Linked DNA regions of Struthio camelus. The protein of the gene in region 2 interacts with the protein of the main gene of each other region in a biochemical or structural test. Links are inferred from orthologs where the notes say so. Each region holds a gene or a part of one and is shown on either strand. Other genes may lie near its edges. The genes, in order: ficolin-2, PTX3 and CFH.

What was found.
Region 1: the proteins of PTX3 (region 2) and ficolin-2 interact in a biophysical measurement, tested with the Homo sapiens proteins (2 studies listed by IntAct, with this or other methods). The link is inferred for Struthio camelus from reciprocal best matches to the Homo sapiens genes PTX3 and FCN2.
Region 3: the proteins of PTX3 (region 2) and CFH form a complex in vitro, tested with the Homo sapiens proteins (3 studies listed by IntAct, with this or other methods). The link is inferred for Struthio camelus from reciprocal best matches to the Homo sapiens genes PTX3 and CFH.

What each region holds. Positions count from the first base shown.
Region 1 is NC_090961.1:13,931,390-13,939,155, forward strand, and holds the start of ficolin-2, read right to left. Parts: upstream 3,098-7,766; 5' UTR 11-3,097; coding exon 1-10.
Region 2 is NC_090950.1:32,021,504-32,028,736, forward strand, and holds the start of PTX3 (pentraxin-related protein PTX3), read right to left. Parts: upstream 3,007-7,233; 5' UTR 2,864-3,006; coding exon 2,716-2,863; intron 2,320-2,715; coding exon 1,783-2,319; intron 1-1,782.
Region 3 is NC_090949.1:11,594,476-11,601,556, reverse strand, and holds the start of CFH (complement factor H), read right to left. Parts: upstream 3,088-7,081; 5' UTR 2,987-3,087; coding exon 2,926-2,986; intron 1-2,925. UniProt on the Homo sapiens protein: Glycoprotein that plays an essential role in maintaining a well-balanced immune response by modulating complement activation.

The DNA.
Region 1 (7,766 bases), on a different chromosome or scaffold from region 2:
GAGTTGTCATGTGGATTAACAAATGGCACTGAGGAACTCATGTATTGGAGGAGCTGGGCAAAGGTGCAAAGCAGAATTTGGGCAACTCTACTGTATCTTTTTCCTCTTCTACTGTTTTATTTCTACAAAAATTACTGATTCTGAAATCAGTAATTCAGGGAGCAAACTCCCTATCCCAAATCTGAAATCAGTCCTAGCCACCCATATCTGGGTGTGGAACTCTCTGTTCTAGGTGCTGCACAGAACAGAAATGAACAGCTTTTCTCTGCCGAACAAACACTTGCAAACTACCAGAACAAATTCTACTTTCACTTTTATTGGTGCAGCTCCACTGACTTCAGTGTCAAGTCTGATTTCTGCTAACATCATATTTTCTTTTCATATCAATAGGAACAAGCTATATGTTCCTTGTGTGTTCTTTGGATACCTTCTGCAGTTGATAACCCTGTTTTCCTTCCGCAAAAGTGGCCAGTAATCTTACCATAGTTTAATTATTTTGAACAGTATCTTTGAAAGGTAAAAGGCACCAGGTTTATTAAATCATCTACAAGAAGCCTTTGTGCCAGGGTTTTCCACCTTCTCAATTATGTTATTGGATACCACCCAAACTCCCTGGGACGATCAGTACTATCAAGATGGTCAAAAGAAGGCAGACTTTATGGCATGCCTGTAAAATACCTATGGGCACTGCCTGACAGGGATTTCTATCAGCACTGACGCACTGGCAGAGGTACAAGAAAGGTGATCACACCAGCAAGCTCCCTGTCCCAAAGCGCAGGTGCAGATAAAATGGAATAGCTTCTTGTGTCTTGAGGGTAGTAGGATCTGTAGGATGTGTGGCTTTACTGCTGTGACAGCATTTGTGTTAGAAGAACTGGTTGACCTTCAGGGACAACCTCCTCAAAGTACAAAAATGGTCCACTGCAACATGCATGTTGTTGGACATGCATGGCAGGAAGCCAACAGAGGGCTCAAATGCAAAAGGAGTGCCCAGAAGATGGGAGCAGGACAAGCACCCAGAGGAACAGAGAAACATGGTGTTATGGGATGGTGTTAGGAAGTCCAGAGCTCAGCTGGAGCTGTAACTAGTGAGGGATATGAAGGACACCAAAAAGGCTTCTGTATGTACATCAGCTGCAAAAGGAAGTGTAAGAAAAATGTGGTCCCACTGCTCAGTGGGGCAGTATGCCTAGTGCCAAAGAACTTGAAAAGGCCATTTTTGTCTTGTTTTTCAATGGCAGGGTTTGCCATATTCCCATACACTCCCATAGGGACACTCCCATATTCCAGTGTCTGTCCCTGTACAGAGTCAGTGGGAGCAAAATATTGGCTACAGTCCACTAAGACTGAGCTAAGGATCCCTCAAGTAAGTTGGACATACACAAGTCCCCAGGACCAGATTTGATGTACCCAAGGGTGCTGAGAGAGCTGGCAGATGTCATTGTGAGGCTCTCTACCCTCTTCATCAGGTCATGGAAATCAGGGATGTTTCTGATGACTGGGAAAAGGCAAATGTCAAAATCATTTTCAAGAAGGGCAAGAAGGAAGACCTAGGAAATTACAGGCTAGTCCGCCTAACCTTGGCCACTAGATACGTGGTAGAAAAATCCTTTCTAGAAGTCATTTCAAAGTGTACGAAGACAAGAAGAGGATTGGGAACAGCCAGCATGGATTTACCAAGGGCAAATTATGCCTGAACAACATGTTTGCCTTCTTTAAAAGAAGACATTATTGCTCTGGCTCTGTGGAGAAGGGAAGAGCAGCAGATGTTATTTACTGTAATTTTAGCAAGGCTGTTGACACAGCTTCCCATAGCATCCTTGTAATCAAAATGGTGAGATGTGGCTTGGATATACAGACTGAAGGGCGGGGTGGGTGGAGGGAACTGGGCTTGAAGAATGGAGGCAGACATTCAAAGTCCACCTGGCACGCGGCTAATATTGGCATTCCTCAGGGATTTATGCTGGGGCTAACACTGTTTAATGTCTGTATTAACAACCTGTATATGGGATGCAGCGCATTCTCAGTAAGTTCACAGATGATACCAAACTTGAGGGACTGATACATTGGAGGGCAGAGCAACCATTCAGAGGGACTGCGAAAGGCCAGAGAAATGGGATGACACAAACCTCACTTAATTCAACTATGGCAAATGCAAAGTCCTGCCCTGGGATGGGCTAAGAGGACATGTACCAAGGGCTAGCTGCCTAGAAAGCAACTTTGCAGAAAGGGCCCTGGGTGTCCAGAGGGCAAAAAGCTGAATCTCAGTCGGCAGTGTACCATTGCAGCAAAGGTGGCCAACAACACATGGAGGTATAGCTAATACCTTGAGGGAGGTCACTATTTCCACCTAATTCAGCTCTTATGAGACCACATCTGGAGCACTGGGTCTGTTTTGGGGCCCCTAGTACAAAAAAGATGTTGATAAACTGGATCAAATCCAAAAGAGCCCATGAAGATGGTCATGGTGCTGGAGCACATGGCACGTGAGGAGGGTCTGGGAGACCCTCTTTCAACCTGCAGGTCATTGAACCTGCAGAAGAGATGGTGAAGGGGAGACCTATGTTGGAGTTTGCAGTTACCCTTTATTTGACCCCCATCAGACTGCCCAGCCCTGATCGGGATTCCCACCAGTGTCCATTTAAACACTAGGGTCCCTGGCTGTCCATCACAGGGAACTTTCCAGAAGGGAGGCAGAAACCAGGCTCAGCATGACTATGCCCACAATTGGGCCTTGGCTATAAAAGGTGGCTGCTGGTGCTATGGGTGGGGCTTTTGGGGGCTGCTGGGGTTGGTGGTGGTAACAGAAGAAAGAGAAGAAGCAAGGAGCACGGCTGCGGGACAGCCTTCGTCAGGAGCAAAAGCACCGGATAGGAAGACCAGTGCTCCTTCAGTGCCTCCCCCCACCACTCCCTCCTGCTATGGGATGCCGGACCAGGACAAGCCCACTGGAGTTTGCCACTCCTGAGCAGCTGCACGAGGTGTTGTGAGTTCACCACTACGGGCTTTGTTCCTGGGGATCGGCATACCCCATTGGTGTGGCCGAATTGCAAATACGGGTTGTACCCAAACACAGTTTTCTACTGAGGATCAGCAAACCACCCCCCACCCCCACCTCCGGGTATGGCTAGATCACTTCTATGGGCTTTGTTCCCAGGGATCGGCAGGCCTGCCTGATCAGGGCAATCCTCCCACCCCCACCCCCCACCCCCCCCCGCACACCTTCTCTCTTTTTTTTTTAATAGACGCATCATTATCATTCATAATTTTATTTACTGTGGAACCTTATTTGCCTTGTTGTTTTTTTTTTTCCTGGGAGCGTCCACTAAATACCATTGTATATAGTTACTGTGTGTTCGTCTTGATTGTTTACCACTGTACACAGTTCCTGTATGTTTGCATTGATTGTTTAACTGAAATTAGTAAAGTTATATCATTTGTAAATCCATTGATCTGAGTATTGTAACCCTATACTCCCTAAATGAACCCAATTCTTCTATATTTGCTAAGTCGCGAGGAGAATAATCAGTTTTCCAAAATGCTCTTTAATTGATGCGGGCGCTCCTCTGCTATGGACTGGGACAGACCTTCTTTCTATCTACAAATGCCTAATGAGTTGTGGAGAAGACGGAGCCAGATTCTTCTCAGAAGCGCATAGTGACTGGAAGAGAAGCAATGGGCACAAGCTACAACTTGGGAAATTCTGATCAAATCTTTCAGAAAATTCTTTTTCTACCCTGAGGGTGGAAAAGGGAACCAGGGACCCACAGAGGTGGTGGGTTCTCCATCCATTCAAAATCAAATTCAACAACAACCCCGAGGTTCATGATATAAATTAATTGTGCCTGGGGCAGGGAGGCTTGGACTTGAGACCTCTAAAGTCCCTTCCAACCTGTGTGATTCTGTGATTCCCATTCTGGCACAGCACTCACAGAATCACAGAATGGTTGAGGTTGGAAGGGACCTCTGGAGATCATCTAGTCCAGGCCCCCTGCTCAAGCAGAGTCACCTACAGCACGTTGTGCAGGACCATGTCCAGGTGGCTTTTGAACTTCTCCAAGGATGGAGGCTCCACAACCTCTCTGGGCAACCTGTGTCAGTGCCCAGTCACACTCACAGTGAAATGTTTTTTTTCTTGTGTTCAGACTAAACTTCCTGTGTTGTAGTTTGTGCCTGTTGCCTTTCATCCTATCACTGGGCACCACTGAGAAGAGTCTGGCCCCATCCTCTTCACACCCTCCCTTCAGAAGTTTATACATATTGAAAAGATGAGCCTTCTGAGTCTTCTCTTCTCCGGGCTCAACAGGCACAGCACTCTCAGCCTTTCCTCCTATGAAAGATGCTCCAATCCCTTCATCATCTTAGCAGCTCTTTGCTGGACTCAATCCACTTTGCCCATGTCTCTCTTGTACCGGGGAGGCCAGAAATGGACACAGCACTCCACGTGTGGCCTCACTAGGGCTGAGCAGAGGGGGAGGATCACCTCCCTCGACCTGCTGGCCACACTCTGCCTAATGCACCCCAGGAGACCACTGGTCTTCCCGGCCACGAGGGCACATTGATGGCTCATGCTCAACTTGTTGTCCACCAGGACACCCAGGTCCTTCTCTGCAGGGCTGCTTTCCAGCAGGTCAGCCCCCAGCCTGTACTGGGGCCTGGATGGCGTTATTCCTCCCCAGGGGCAGGACCCTGCCCTTCCCTTTGTTGACCTTCATGAGGTTCCTCTCCGCCCAGCTCTCCAGCCTCTCCAGGTCCCTCTGAATGGCGGCACGGCCTTCTGGCGTATCATCCACTCCTCCCACTTTTGTATCATCAGCAAACTTGCTGAGGGTGCACTCTGTCCCTTCATCCAGGTCACTGATGAATAAACTGAACAGTATTGGACACAGTATTGACCCCTGGGGTACGTCACTAGTGACAGGCCTCCAGCTAGACTTTGTGCCAATGACCACAACCCTCTGAACTTGTCTGTTCAGCCAGTTTTGAATTCACCTCGCTGTCTGCTCATCTAGCCTGCACTTCATCAGCTTACCTATGAAGATGTGATGGGAGGCTGTGTCAAACACCTTACTGAAGTCCAGGTAGACAACATTCACTACTCTCCCCTCATCTACCTGCTCCTGGCATGGCTGACCCCTGCTATATGATACCTGATGTAATACTCCTGCCACATTTTTGTCCCTGCATGGCTGAGGTGTAGCTTTGGCAACAGCCTGTATTAATGTCTGTGAGGATCCAGCTTGAGGTGCATGTAGGGGAGGAATTTTATACCAACACAGAATATCTGCAGCTTCAGAGGAGTTCAGTCTGAGAGGATGCTATATATATGACATCACATGCATGAGAAATGCACTATAGTTTAATAAAACAAAAGTCAAGAGATGCCATGTGGGATATTGACAGCAGAGACTATGTAGCATTGACAGATTTGTGAGCATTAAAGGCTCTGCCAAATTTCCTGACACCAGCTCAGTTTGGAGTTGCTGCTACCACCCTCCTAGAGAATATGGACAGAAAGCTACTTTAGGTAGTGTCCCCAAGCTGCCAGATTGTCTGACACCCAGTGAGCACTGAAACACTCCATTATATTGCTCTGCATCGTTCAGTAACTGGGGCAAGGCACCCCAGGTTGGGGTGGGATGGCTGCTGGGACTTCATCTTCTCTTGCCCTCCTCCCACCTGCAGCTGAATTAAAATGATGCATGGAAGGAAAATAATTCACCTCCAAGCTCTTTTTTATGGCTCTTGTGTTACAGAGCTAGAGGATGAAGCAGAGTGCCTCCTCAGGGAGACAGTGGGATTTGTGCCGCACTCACCTGGGCAGGAGTCCTGGGCATCAGAAACCATCACTGTTAGGCTGAGCAGAGCAAGGAGGGTTGGGGCTGTCCTCCCCATGGCCAGCGCTGTCTGTGCTCTCTGCTCAGCTCCCCTCTTCCATGTCCCAGGCGCTGTGGTTAGCAGTTGACCCATCTAAGCCTCTTATATCGAGCACAAAAAAAAATCTAGCACTAAGCTCCACCTCTGCACTTTCCCACCACCTGCCCATCAAAGCTGGGAGTCTGGCGAGTTCTTGGGAAGCTGTTTCCCACATAAGCCATTTCCCAAAAGTCTGATGGGGAAAGTTCCTGCCTGGCTGTTCCAGCTAACCCCTCATAGGGCCTTAGCAGACTTCAGGTGTCTTTCCCCTCCCTTATTTTGTTTCCAGAGGAAATGAACTAGTGAAAACATACATTTGGTTAAAGTAGACAGCTCTTATGCTGCTGCCTGTTAGTGGCACTTTCACAGAATGACAGAATCACAGAATCACAGAATCGTTTAGGTTGGAAGGGACCTCTGGAGATCATCTAGTCCAACCTCCCTGTTCAAGCAGGGTCACCTAGAGCATATTGCCCAGGATCACATCCAGATGGCTTTTGAATATCTCCAGCGATGGAGACTCCACCACCTCTCTGGGCAACCTGTTCCAATGCTCTGTCACCCTCACAGTCAAGAAGTTTTTCCTCAGGTTCAGATGGAACTTCCTGTGGTTCAGTTTCTGCCCATTGCCTCTTGTCCTGTTGCTGGGCACCACGGAGAAGAAGCTGGCCTCATCCTCAGATACTTGTACACATTGATGAGATCCCCTCTCAATCTTCTCTTCTCCAGGCTGAACAGGCCCAGCTCTTGCAGTCTTTCTTCATAGGAGAGATGCTCCAGCCCTCTAATCATCTTGGTAGCCCTCCGCTGGACTCTCTCCAGGAGTGCCATGTCTCTCTTGTACTGGGGAGCCCAGAACTGGACACAGTACTCCAGGTGAGGCCTCACCAGAGCTGAGTAGAGGGGCAGGATCACCTCCCTCGACCTGCTGGCAACACTCTGCCTAATGCAGCCCAGGAGACCATTGGCCTTCTTGGCCACAAGGGCACACTGCTGGCTCAAAAAGCAGATCTTACTTTGCAGATGGGAGAGCCAAGACCATTAGCAGAAGCTATACTGCCTGACTCATGCTCCAGTGCTCTACCTGCCAGTCAGCACTTTGCAGCCCTTCAAACAGAGGTTTATAGGTGATCCAGGACCAATTTAGAGTTAAAGCTTTGTATGTCCAGGCAATGCTAGCTGGGCAGAACATGTATGTTTTTTTCCCAGTCCCTGTTCACTGTAATACTGAGTAGAATTTCAGTTTTGCTTTGCTGTTGCTATGCTGTGCACTCTGCTCATCAGTGGCAGAGTTATGTGAAGTCCAAACTGCCTGACTGAGTTTGATCCCCATGTTACCTTAAGACACAGAGCCCGTAAAGTTTATGAATTTTATCAGAGGGCAGTATTTTAGTTTTTTCTCTGTATTGCTGCATCCCAGTTCAGATGAGGCTGATTTCTTGGAGTCTTTCCCAGCTATTGGGATATCAGAGGCAGAACATAGCTTCCCCACATTTACTTTCTTTGTGGGTTCCTTCTCATATCTCAAACTACAGCCCAAACTCCTACGATAAGTGAAAGCCTGCTTTAATGTTAAGCAAATGGGAGTAAGCAGGAGAGAGGTAAGAAAAGTAATTGGTTGCCACTTAAATTCCTTATCCCCAAATAGTCAGTACATATACACAGACATATACTTGTGTGTATAAAATAATAATAAACCAGTAGATCTTTGATTATTGTTGCTTCTGAGACCTAATTCAGGCAGGGAAACACATACATCCTTCCCCTGCCCCTCTCTGAAAAAACTGCAGGGAAATGAGAGGGATTGTAATCAGACCAGTCTCATTCAGATTTGGGGTTTGCTTTAAGTG
Region 2 (7,233 bases):
AAAATTAAAAACAGCCTCACTGAAGACCAAAAAATGTGATTAGAAAATCCCTCAAGAGATGTCTGGCAGTAGTTCAGGATGTGAGAAATTAAAGGCAGTTGCTAAAAACTCCCTGGAAAAAAATTTCCAGAGACACCCTGGAAGTATTTAAAATGAATCTCTAAAAAGAAAAAAATTTCATATATTTTTTTCTTATAAAACCATGTAGAGACAGATACTGATCTTTCTTATGCAGTGTAAATCAGGATTAAATTCAGTAAAAGCAGTGGAGTTAATCTGGATTTCCACTGATGAGACTGAGATCAGAAGACCATGCTTAATGCAGGTCGAGTTTACTCTCACCTAGTGCATACTAACGGAGAGGTTTGTCATGTTACAGGAGAGAGGCGAAGAATGAGATAATGACTTTTGGAAGGCAAAATCCTTGTCTGTGGTAAAAGGAATATGCTGTATGACCTACTCCCAGTACACAAAGATTACTAAAATGCTACAATTAAAAAAAGAGTAAAAGCAATCTATTCTTGCTTATAAAGCTGAATTCACGTTCTACCTCCAAAGTATAGATTTTTGTCTTAGCTTGTAAAATGCTTTGATGTTAAGTATTGTTGTGTTTGTATTTTAACAGCCTTGTGGAAGTTATTGCTTTTACTCTTTGCCACTGTAAGAAGCGTGCCTGCTTGCTCCCCTGTGTAAGAACCTGTCTGCAGTGCTGCTAGGGAGTTGCTGACAAGCCTGGCATAACTGCACCCCTAGCTTCCTATCTGTGCACACAGCTGCAGATTCTGTAAGGGTAGATTTTAGGGGGGGATTTGGGTTTTTTTTTTCTTAGCTGCAGTAATTTTTTGTGGGAAACGTGATCATTAAAGATGTATCAATACCACTGAGAAATCATGCAACGATAGCTATCCAGTAGGTAGAGCTGTATACATCATAGTTATATTGTGGGTGCAAAATTGCTACGTGAACGCTTTTATATAGATTGGGGCCTGTTCTGTCATCCATAAGTTTCTGTAGTTGCTTTGGCTGGGTATCATATTACAGCACACAAAAATTGAAAAGAAATTTGAGATATGAGCTCATCCTTCTACAGCCACCTCACTTGCTGACCAATAGAAACGCTTCAGAAGGACAGGAAAAAAAAATGTTGGGCAATGTAACTAGTTTTTCCATGGTTGGGGGAAGCTATTGCATCCTGACAGTTGCATGCAGCAAAATGTGTCCTCCTGGACACAGGAAATGTGATCAGCTGTTGCTGGTTGACAGCAGCAGCAGGTCCTCAGATCTAGATCTGGTCCTAAGCAGTCAGAGTTGGTGAGAAGGCGGCAGTGGCTAGGGTAGAAGGAAGGAGCTGGTATGTATATGGCGAGAGCAACAGACTTCAGTGATTAATGAGTATGTGTGGGACTTACCAGCTGGAAAGGTAAAAGGTGAGAGAACATATTTTGCATGTTAGTCTGTTTAAAATATGTTTGCTGTTCTTTGGCTACAGTTTGAATCTGGGAGATTGTCCAGGAGTCAGAATCCTGGCTGAGGGGCTGGTTTACCCTGTGGAAGGACTTTGATTAGATCCTTCCTTGATTCCACGTTTCAAAAGCTCAGTGGTTCTCTCTAGGGAAAAGTTAATGGATCTCCTCCTGGTGTATACAGACTGCTCAAAACTGCTGTACCATTCATAGGATTCCTTTGGAGTTATATACAAAGGAAAGAAGTGTTTGCAGTATGTCTGCTTGGACAGGCCCACAGAAGAGAGTTCTCCAGCAAAACGTCATGCACTGGACTTACCTGCCGGCAGTAAGTGCTGAGCTGCCCATTTTTGAGATACCTTCAGTTCAGCTCTGGTTTGCTGTAGTTCTTTCCAGAGAGAGTTCAAAATGAAATTGTCTCCTGCGGTGTGACCGAATTTATCCTGCTGCTGAAAAGCTGTCTCTTGAACCTCCGCCTCAGATCTGCTCTGCCAAACGCTCTCCAGCTGACTGAGTCTGTTGGACACATTGTGGCTCAGTAACAGCACGTGTTCAAGGATCTTGCCTTGCTCAGATTCGTGAAGCGTCTTTCCTTCCTGAGCTTGTTCGCTGTTCCTCACAAGTGCCTGCTCTACCTGTGACACAATGTGGGAAGTGACTTTCTCAACTGCTGTGGCGTACGTGCTAGCAAAGTTGGCTGCGAGCTGGCTCAGCTCTGCTTGCACGGTCTGTAGTTCCACCTTCAGGATCTCATCGATAGCCTGGAGCATCATGTTCTCCTTCATCTGTGAGTTCTCAAGCATGATGAAGAGCTTGTCCCATTCTGTGTGTTCTCGCTGACAGTCACATGAAGCAGCTGAAATACAAGATACAGATGTTGCTATTCCTTTGTACTTAGGTTTTTAAGCAGAAGAGTTATTTAACAAAATCTGTCTCTCTAAAGTTTATGTGCTCCAAACTACCAGTGTGTTTCCCCCTATTAAAAGAGAAAGGTAAAGCAATGAGTATTATAGCAAATCTAAAACTTAGTGTCATCCCCAGTATTTCCTGGGAAAACTGAAAAATAAGTAGCATAAAGCAAATTCCAAGGGACACTGTTGAAGTACTCTGACGTTTGCTATCTATAACAATCTACTTGTACGTGCTTCTTCCTTTTTAAAAAAGTAATGCGTATAATAACTGTTACAAGAGCTAAGCAGCAAAGAAGACAATTCTGTGCTTAATAAGAGAAAGCTGGTTTAAATCTACTTACTTTCCTCAGTACCAAGAACTGGACCTTCAATTTCATTATCCATATTCACATACATGAGATTATAGTCATCATCTTCATCCAGAGCAGAAACAGGAGCCCTGAAAACACAAAACAGTATGAGCAAGGAAAGCATTTCTTGAGGCAGCATTCTCCAGCTGTTTCCTAAAAGTATCTGCGCTGCCTGGAGCTGAAGGTCTTGAGCGGAGACAAGACTCGGAGTGAGAGGCAGAGAGCCCCTAATAAATGCTGCGAGTGCCTCAGCTTGAATGAATGAGTAGTGCTAGTGCCAGTGGTGTAATAAGAGCACTTCTGATTGTTGTTGTTGGATGGGAGTAGAAGGGGGCGTGCAACTTGCTCAATCTCAGCCTTCAAGGTTTGCACTGGGGGAAGATGTACTGATTACAGGAGGGGAAGAAGCGGGGAAGGCTTGCTTTTGCAAACTGTGACTTTCCCTCCAAGAGCAGATTGCTGTAACGTGCAGTGATGTGAGGGTGAGAACAACGGGATGAAATCACTCGGAGTTGGCTGCCTAAAAGCACAGCGCACGCCGGATATGCTATTTTCTATCCTTTGTGGAAAAGGAAAGTGTTCTCTGCAAACTTGTTTTACCGCTGATATATGCCAGGGCTCTGGAAAGGAGTGGTAGAAAAATAACTATATGTGAAATTGGTTTTAGTACATATGTATGGTTTAACCTGAACATTGTAGCTTCACTGATAGTTATATTTAAATTGCTAGTACCATAGAAGTTTTTACTGCTTTCAGCAATTGAAGAAAACTCAGAAAATAAAGATGACTTATTAGGATTTTATTTTTACAGTTTTTAGCTCTAATTCCCGATAATAACATTCTAACTCCGGATAATGCGTTACTATTAGTATCTTGTTTCAGAGGCCAAAAAATTAGCAGCTGGACAATTAGATTTGTTTCAGTTAACTTGAAAACAAAATGAGGCACCCTTGGATTAAGCGTTAATCTAGTGCTAAATATTATTGTTATTGTTGAATTTTATCTAAACTACACAGTTTCTGTTTTAATTTTTGAAAGCTCAATGAGCTATTGATTATTTCAGGATGCATTGCTTGGGTGAGATTAAAGGTAATAAAGCAATGACACAAATTATATATTCACTATAAAGTATTTGGAATATAGAGAAAACATGTAACTATCTGCTGGGTATTCTGCATCCCCTTTCTGTGCGAGAACGTGTAGTTTAGTGACTTACCCTCATACACATGGCATACAGGAATAACGGGTGCTGCATAAAGAGGGTCCCGTGCTTCCATTCAGGTCTTGCTCATTCTGCCGCCGTCCACGGCAGCTCCTGGCGCCTGGGCCATGGGGGGGGGGGGGGGGGGAGAGATGCAGCTGCACAAAACACCCTGGGGTGCCCTTGGGTGCCCTTGCCCCAGAGCAGATCCACTGCTCCACGAGGCAGTGTTCAGCCTGCCGAGAGTTTGGTGTTGCTACAGCTCGACTCCTCCTGACACCCGGCTTGCACTGTGCAAACCTGAGCTACCTGTGCAGTTCCTACTGCAATGGGGCCTCTGCCTGCTTTCCTGCAAATATAAGTAATAATATCAAAGCAATAACTTATGAACCCCCAGGTAACAGGGTATAACGTAGAGGTCAACGTTTTCAGAGTGCTCTGCCTGCACGGGGATGCAAGTGGCTAAACTGAGCGACAACTTTGGTCTTAATGGTTGAACTTAAAATACTCAGTTTAATATAGAGTGAATGTCAAAATACCACTGTGCAGAACTCTTTCTGTCCATGTTAGGTTTGCAGTGTGCTGCCAGGTTCCTTGTTTTACAACATCACTGCGTAGGACCAAGGATTGGACAGAGCAGAAACCAAGCACAGGGCAACCCTTGCTGCCCTTAACATGTAAAGGGAGAACGGACAAGGGGAGGGTGGGGGCACGGTCCGAGGCCAGCCAGGAGAGCCGGGCCAGCGCAGAGCACTCCGAGCACATACCTGGGGTTACTCCTGCTTTTGGGCCTCTTCCCTGTCTGCCCTGGAGCCAGCGGTGCAAAGCCATCAAACGCACCCAACTGTGTGTTAGTTTCTGAGTGAGTTGCATAGTTGTCACTGTGTGGTCTGCTTGGAAATTCTGGGAAAATCTAATCTGGAATGCATTGGGCATAAGGGTAGTAGGGGGAGGAAGAGGGAGAGGAGGTAATTAAGAAGGTTTTTCCATTTTCAGATGACAAACACGCTTTCAGGCTCGTAGTTTAGGCTGAGACAGACAAAGCGAGATGGAACAGAACCAAATGACTCAGGAGTGGGCACAGTATCGCCTTGGCTAGCCTGAGCGCCAAGGAAAGCAGAGGCTGCTGAACTACGCATGCAGAAATCGCTTAGAAATTGAAAAGATATATGCCAAACACATGGCACAATGTACTTAGAGCTAATTCAAGATGTGAAAATCTGAGAAAACAAGGAATTGGATTGTTTCATGACTTTAAATTGCAAGAAGAACAGACAGGATCTGTGTTGTCTGCTGGGATTGTTTACGAGTTCACGTATACAGGTTGTTCAATTAAAAGGAATTCCAAGTCAGTGAGAGCATTTAAATATCATTCAGAAGCACTGCGGCTGCTTCGAATTTGCCCTTGCTGTTCTTTTATTGTGGTCGGTGAATATAAACCCAGTAACGTTTGCTGTGTCCATTTACATTTGTGCAATGTATTTTTGTTCAGAGAAGATTCATGGCTCCAATCCATCATGTTATGTGAAATTATGCTACTCCTGTAACACATCTGATATTTGAAATGGATATTTTCTTAGATGGAATAATTGCTGTTAATTTCCAGAGCTGACATCTTACCATGCATGATAACCTAATTTAGGCAATAGCATGTCTCAGGTTGGTGTTTGTTATTCCTCCTTTAGTGCTGCTAGTCTTTACTCTTTCCCTTGAGATGAATTTTGCTTGTCTGGGAACATGGGAATTTTGTCTTTTGCAGTTGTTACCATTGCTGAAATTTGGCCAGAGTTTAAGGGTTCTATTCTGTATGTGCAGAAAACTTCCACTTGAAACCAACAGGGGTGCAAGCACAGAGAATGAAGGGCTGTAAGCCCTAAATGATCTGGAGAAGGAAATAATTTTTAGTGTAGTCAGTTATAAAATTGTTCCATTTCAAACTAAGATATTAGTCTAGAAAATGTTAAGTAAATATGTCTTCTCATCATTTTGTTAAACTCTGAGTAATTGGTGCTCTGCTAGACTGTCGTGTAACTCCAGGGCTGTCATAAATATTGCCTTGCCTGGTATTTAGCTGTGCGACATCAGCTGTTGCTGTTACCCTGCTCATTGAGAAAGGACCCGGAAGCTGCACGTCCAAGTCAGTCGGTGGGATTTTCCAAAGAACCTCTGGGATTTAGGAGCATGAATCCCACAGTACACTGGTGACACTCACGCCCCTGAAAACGTTTAGTCTTCTGTTAACATCAAGAAGAGATTTGCGCTAAGAATGTGGGATGGAAGCTAGCTGAACTGAACTGCTTGGTAAGCTGTTTAGGGCAATTCATCAGCAGATATCTTCTTTGCAACTGGCCTTTGTGCTTTCACGCTGAAAGTTGCCGGTTTGCGTTGCAAACTGGGCATGCATTCACACTCGCACGAAGCCGTTCTTGTTGTAGCATAAGTTGGGGTACTCTAGTTTAGGCATTGCACTTCAGGGGAAAAGGAGATCCCAAGCAGGGGTTTCACTTATGGAAAACAACGGTTGTACAACGCACAAGTATTTATGGACTAGAGCAATACAGAAATTCTCCACGTCCATGTGAACAATGGTAGGATCTGAACCTCGCCGTGGCCTTTATTGCTGCACTGATGGTATGGAGGGGGCTTGGAGCTGCCTTCAAGAAGAAGCCAAAGATTGTTCAAGCAGAATAAATGCTTCGGAATAGGATGCGAAAGCCTGGCTGAATAAATGGTGCAGAGGCATTCTCTCCAAGTACAAGGACTCCTCGAGGATCATTATACGCTGATTTGACTAAAAGTTTTCTGAACCTGGTAAGAATTATATTTTAGTTACTTGGCCCAGAGAAGGTGTTGCAAGACCTAATGGTGTCTTGGGGTGGTTTTTTGTATCTGGCCTGAGCTTGATGTGGTCGAGTTTGACCCCAATATTCTTTTTCTACCATCCATTAAGTGACCTGTTTATCTTCCAAAATTACAGGGCTCTAATTTTAAATGGGAGAAAAAGCAGCAGGCCAGAGTGCTTGTTCCTATTGGAAACCAAATCCAGAGAGACTGTAAGGACTTTCAAGGGTTTACAAAAAGGATCGGTACTACACAGCACTAGGCAGATGTTTTCCATATGTTGTTCAAGTGAAACTTAAATGCATTGAGGCAGGCATGTACAGCAATGTGAAGTTATATATTTTAGTATGAGCCTGGGTTTCAAATTGAATTACGCACAGACATCTTAAGAAAATGTGTGAGAGAGGGTTTTGCATATCTTTGTCTGTCTGCAATTGCCTTTCTCTCTGGCTCCTTTCTATTCCTGG
Region 3 (7,081 bases), on a different chromosome or scaffold from region 2:
AGTGAGAGTTTTTTATTCTGCTCCTCTCTTACAGATAAGAAAAACAGTACAACTCAGAAGTAATGTAGAATGGGGCCTCATAACTCCGTCTTGTTTATATTTAAAAAAAGGAAAGAAATTTAAAAAAAGATGATCTCTTAATACTCTCCTCACCATTACTAAGACATATTTGCTTCCAGGTTTCGTTTCAACTCTGCGTTCTTCACCACTGCTGACCTAGAGTCCGGGTTTGTGATTTCTCTATAGCAAGCATTACTGTCAAGAGTCACAGCATGTATGTGCATATTCCTGACTACAGCTAATTTTTTCCTTTTTTATGCAGTTTCTCAGTAGTTTGAGAAACAAATCTTCTGACAGGGTAGACTTCAAAGCTATTCATTACATCATGCATTTTGATCTCCATACCCACCAAAATTTGGAGTTTGATATTTTTATATTAGAAAGCATGGTTTAAATGCATGCCTTCAAATTCCTTCGTGGAAAACCAGAATAGCTGGAATTAATCAGTTAGTACTTCCTCTGTGATTTGACCTCAGTTAGAAATAGCTCAAGCTGCTTTCTCAGCATCATTGTACCAGTATCAACTTCAACAAAGCCAAACACAAACTACAAATTCAGGAAGAATCACAGAATCACAGAATCGTTTAGGTTGGAAGGGACCTCTGGAGATCATCTAGTCCAACCTCCCTGCTCAAGCAGGGTCACCTAGAGCATATTGCCCAGGATCACATCCAGACGGGTTTTGAATATCTCCGGCAAAGGAGACTCCACTACCTCTCTGGGCAACCTGTTCCAATGCTCTGTCACCCTCACAGTGAAGAAGTTTTTCCTCAGGTTCAGATGGAACTGCCTGTGGTTCAGTTTCTGCCCATTGCCTCTTGTCCTGTTGCTGGGCACCACGGAGAAGAGGCTGGCCTCATCCTCTTGACACTCCCCCTTCAGATACTTGTACACGTTGATGAGATCCCCTCTCAATCTTCCCTTCTCCAGGCTGAACAGGCCCAGCTCTTGCAGTCTTTCTTCATAGGAGAGATGCTCCAGCCCTCTAATCATCTTGGTAGCCCTCCGCTGGACTCTCTCCAGCAGTGCCATGTCTCTCTTGGACTGGGGAGTCCAGAACTGGACACAGTACTCCAGGTGAGGCCTCACCAGGGCTGAATAGAGGGGCAGGATCACCTCCCTCCACCTGCTGGCAACACTCTGCCTAATGCACCCTAGGATCCCATTGGCCTTCTTGGCCACAAAGGCACACTGCTGGCTCATGTTTAACTTGTTGTCCACCAGCACTCCCAGGTCCTTCTCGGCAGAGCTACTTTCCAACAGGTCAGTCCCCAGCCTGTACTGGTGCATGGGATTATTCCTGCCTAGGTGCAGGACCTTGCACTTGCCTTTGTTGAACTTCAGGAGGTTCCTCTCCGCCCAGCTCTCCAGCCTGTCCAGGTCCCTCTGAATGGCAGCACAGTCTTCTGGTGTGTTAGCCTCTCCCCCCAGTTTAGTATCATCAGCAAACTTGCTGAGGGTGCACTCTGTCCCTTCCTCCAGGTCATTGATGAATATATTGAACAAGACTGGGCCCAGGACTGACCCCTGGGGGACACCACTAGCCACAGGCCTCCAACTTGACTCTGCGCCATTCACCACAACCCTCTGAGCTCGGCCATCCAGCCAGTTCTCAAGCCACCTCACCGAAGAATTTTTCAGTTCCTGTGCAACAACACAGCTCTCAAAAAACTCACGTCGCCTTTCCATATGAAGCGTGCACTAAGAACCCTGTATGACCAATGGTAATAGTTGTCCCAGCTGAATCAAATATTGCTACATTCACATTCCTTTGCAATCTCTCTAAAGAAAGAAAGTATTGTGAAAAGAGAGGGCAAATTTAGGCAAACTTTCTTTTCAAATTCCAGAGTTTTTCTAGACTACTTTGCAAAAAAAGGAGACTTTATTAATGGCACTTTGAAACAATATGTATTACAAGTATGTAATGTAATACATTTCACTAACCTTCTGATTTTTTCAAATAAAATTTCCTTCCTACCAGCTAATTTTAAAAGAATAAAAATCTTAAAGAAAGGGCCTAATTCTACACGATTCTGAAGGATGCAAAGTAAAATTCAACAGATTGCTTGGATTGATAAGGTCTTCATAACCTTCATATAAAATTAAAAAACAATCTGAACTAAGTGAAGACACACTAGCTCAAAGACACACAACACCCTTTCTCCAACAGTCTATACATAAATCCCTGACAGAAAACACAGCAATCAAATTATTAAACATATAGCTTAAACAGTATAAACATAGTATCAAAGAAAAATAAACTCTGTGTGTCAAGCAAAGGAAATTGAACACTGAATAGGAAAATATTAACAGCAGCTAGAAAACTTAATGCCTCTTTAGCCACGGACAAAAGTGTATCTGTATATGCTTATCTCATGCAATGGATTAAAAACAGAACAAAACAAGGATGTCAATTGACAGATACTTTGTAAACACTTAATTCAGTCAATCTAGTAATCATTTCTCTTTCTCAGATTATCTCATAGATTATCCCAGACGTAAGAAATATACATTTATTGAGTGTTTGTTATTTTAGTCTACCAACCATTTATAGATATTTATGGTTTTAGATGTTAAAATAATTAACAAACAAACATAATAAAAATGAATTATCTGATTCTAGTTTACAGGGACAGTAATTACTAAAAAGTTGTGCAACAGTCTTTATCCAAATAAATAGGTGAAATAATACCTAAGGCAGCATAGTAAGTACTAAAGGTGCTAGGTACTGCGAGAACAAATCCCAATTATTGTTGACAGAGCTTCACTAAAATAAACTACAATCAGAATATTTCATTTAAAAATTATTTTAATTACATTTTCCTAGTATAAGAAAGTAGGCTTTTTTCCACATTAAAAACTTACCTCTTTCTGCAGTACAATACATCCAAAATAACAGTAGAACCGTATAACCCAGGAGTGACATGCTAGTGACTCAGAAACACAGTAAGCACATTTATAACAGCAGCTAACTTATTGGATTATTTTGCGTTATATGCACTCCTATTTTACTCAGTAACTGCTCCTGTGACTGACCTTGCAAAGTATTTATACTTTGATTTCAGCAGTCACTTCCTCTAATCCTCTTGCAACACACAACTGTTTCTCTTTTTTTTGGATAGACACACAATGCAAACTTTGCTAAAATGAATAAATAAATAAAAGCCTGGTGATTTCAGCTGACACTGCCCCTTCCTGTGTTCAACTAGTTTTTACATCATGCCTCTATTTTTTTCATATTAATCTCTTTCATGCTCAGATAAGCTTATTTCTTTTGCGATCCAAAAGAAGTTGCTCAGATGAATTACTTTGTAATTCCCTGTGTTTTATATGCTCAGTTAAAAAGAATGAATGGAACTAAAAAATTATTTGTGTATAAATAAAAAATTATTTGTGTATAAATTCGCTGCTATACGAATGTCATTCAAGACATAGACTGAAAAAATACAAAGTGATTTACTAACCTATAGATTTTGCTTAAGATATCCAATTACCCTAAGCAAAGGAAACGTACTAAATTAAATAAATCTAGGCTATGCTGAACCATTTGTTTTGGTTTCACATTAGAAACCATAAGATGAAGATGAGAATGAATATAATTGCAATACAGATAACAAACTGTTTTAAAAAATAAAGATTGCACTAAAAGAGGAACTATAGGGCAGCATGGGGAGTAGGGGGTAACAGTGAAACTCCCCAGGGCTTGATGTTAGCAGCAATCGTATTAATATTTTCATTAAAGGTCTTGGCTTTAGTCACCATGCAAGTGTGGATTACACAAAGAAAATTGTTTGATACTGAGGCCTGGGGAGAAACGTAAGAGCACAAAGTGCTCTCAGGAGACAGACACAAAACATCTGCAGACTGGATGCCCCCTAGCTCTGATGGCAGACTGACATAGAGCAAGCACACGGCAATCTTGTGTATGTTCCCAAAAGACTACATAAACATATCCTTAAGCCCACTGGCTTAGTTCATCTACTGAAATAAGATAAAAGAGAGTTTGTTTAGAGAACAGATCCCCAATCAAGCCCCAATGCCAAAGCAGTGAACTTTTTTCTTCTCAAAATGGAGCTGAAGTGAAATTATTTCTTGAATTTTTTTTTGTACCTGTGCTATGCTGTCAACTACCAGCTCAGGGCAATTCAAGTCTTAGTGAAAACTAACATTCAGTGTTTACACCTGCCACAGATCTGCCAGATAGCATCACATCTCTGCTTTTCCCTCCTCACTTCTCTCCTGCCAGCTGACTCATATGTACAGACTGAACTCCTGCCCTGCTCCATGACCCTGTGATGATTGGTCTGCACCAATTTTGAAGTTCCTGGCAGTAAAGAGCATCTAAGCAGCAAAGACCTCTTTTTACACCTGCCCAAGCTGAATTCTTGGCAAACGGCTCATGGGAGAGAACTAACGAAGTCAGTGATCCCTTCTGTGCTGTGGTAGAGAACCATGTGCTGGTATAGACAGCGGCGCTCTAAGTGCACCAGGACAGTCTCGCCTGTTTGTCCTTCTCTGAAGCAATCTCATGCACGTATGTGTGTGCACACGCTTCTGTGCCAGTGGGCTGCAGAGTGCAAAAGCAAGATTCCTTGTAGTGAGGAGGGAGTGAGGATGGGTTAGCCCTTCCTGTCACAGCATAAGTACTGATTTTCAAATGTAGCAGTGACACTGCTGCTTTCCAGTTTCTCAACCACTGTGCCAAGCTGCAAAAATGCTGAGGCAGTGCTGGAAGGCACTCAGGTGCCAACCAAGAGAAGGTGGCTCGAACCCATTAGCAGGAGAAACATATGTTGCAGGGACGTCCTCATTTTTATTGTTTCTTCAGTTTTCAAATGTTGTATTTGCTGACATCATGAGGCTTAAATCAGTTCTGGCTCAAACCGTTTTCGGGTTACTAAACCACTTGTCAAAACATTACTGGCTTGAACCACAGTCAAAGAAAGGTAGTTTCAGCTATACCTGAACCCAAACTGGAACACAGTGAATGTTAAAACCACTTAAGCTATAAGATATCACAACACGAGAGCAGATAGTTATAAACATCCTAGAAATTAAATTTAAAGTGGAAATTAGAAGAATCGCCTGAGAAGTGAGGCTCAGAAGTAATCTTTTTACGGGCATTATATAAACATAAAAACCATCTTCAGTTGCAAAACAGGGACCAGAGTCAGTCCTTTCCAGTCCCATGTTCTTGACCTTAAGTCAGGGGCAAAACTTACATTAACCAAACGGAAATAAAAATCAGGAACTTAAGTCTTTCTTCCCCTACTCACATCCTCCATAGGCTGTAAACTGATTCAAAACTGATTTTCTTTTAAACATATCTGGATGACATGGTCATCTCCAGGCTCTAAGGAAATAGAACGCAGAGGAAAACAGACTAATGAAGAGGTGTCAGTGAAAGAGGTAAGCTTCAGGACCTCTAAGGGAGGCAGAAGAAAAATCTCTGGAGTACGCTTACCTTCCTTCAACTTAAAAAAAAAAAAAAAAAAAAAAAAGGCAGTAACACCTAAGTAGTCATGCAGTCAAAGGCAACTGGATTTTACATATCAAAGCAGAAAGATTTTACCCATCTCCTTGCTAGGAGAATTGGTGCAACTGTACTCAAACATTGTGGTGGTCACAATCAGACAGTCAAGATATTACCAGATACTTCCTCTAGTAGCAAAACTGCATGCCCAGGCAACATAGAAAAGCAGGAAAATTCACACAGAAAGGATGTCAGGGAGGTCATCTTGTCCAACCTCCTGCACAAAGAAGAGTCAACTATGAGGTCAGACCACATTACTCAGGGCCTTGGTCGTTCCCTACTCAATTTTGGGAGTTAAAACTAAGATTCAAAGTGTTTGTTCAAACATGAATGTTTCTGAGAGAAGAGTGTTAGGAAGCTATTTGGTAACATGAATGCACACCTGAGGAAGTCAGTGTCTTCCAAGAGACAACTAGTGATAGCTAATGAGGGGAGCTTAGTCACAGCATCTCTGACCACAGTGTAATTTTATTAGCATGTGATAACATGCTTGCTGTCATACTTCCAGTGATATCATTAGGGTCTATAGAATCGTAGGATCTGCCATCGAGGTGCTCAAAAAATCTTCACAGAAGAGCCTTATCCCACTATCTTACTGGTGGGATGGTTTCCATTGTCTATAGTTTTCTTTCCTCCCACTGGCAGACCACTTGAAATTACACATCATTCGATATCTAATCACCTAATGGTGTCACAGGGGGGGAAAAAAAAAAGCTCAGTTCACATAGCTTAAACCAAATCAGGATCAAACTGGTTTATTGATTTATTAACGACACACAATAAACTAGCAATCAGTGAACAGGATCAGGATCAGAGATTCTGGATCAGTATAAGCAATACAACAGGTTAACATTTTGTGTCTAATACTGTGCCTTAAGAAAAAACTTCAAATTCTAAGCACCCCTCTCTCACTAACCTCCAAAGTACTAATCACCTAAAGTCATGAGCACCCACCCACAGTTACAGCATCCACTCCATCTCTCACAGGCCATGCAGGATACAGGCATCCCCCCCACCTCCTCCGGGGTTGCAAGTTCCCATACTTACACCTCCTACTGAAGGTGCGCGTGCTTGATGTGCACCCATGCTGCTCCTTACAATCTGCTAATGCACATGCTGGAAAGAAAGTACCACACAAGGTCACATATCTGCACCCCAGGCGCAGGTCCCTACTGCTTCACCTCACACGGTGCAGCCCGAGGGCAGACGCTCTGCCAGGTCAAGGCAGAGGTCGCTATACCAGTGGGGTGACTTCTGCCAGCGTAAAACCAGACTGCTCTGGTTTTGACTGCAGCTCTGTTTGCACTCAAAAATCTCTCCTTTCTGTTACAAATTTTCATGTTCCCTTTACACTTCCTTCCAAATTGAGACCTTCTTTGTTTGAAAGGTCTCCCTGTAACTCCTGGGTTACTGTTTAATCTGACTGGTGGTTGTCAACCCCTTTAAGGTGATCAGCTAGGTTATGCACTCTCTGGGGTATGCAAGAGT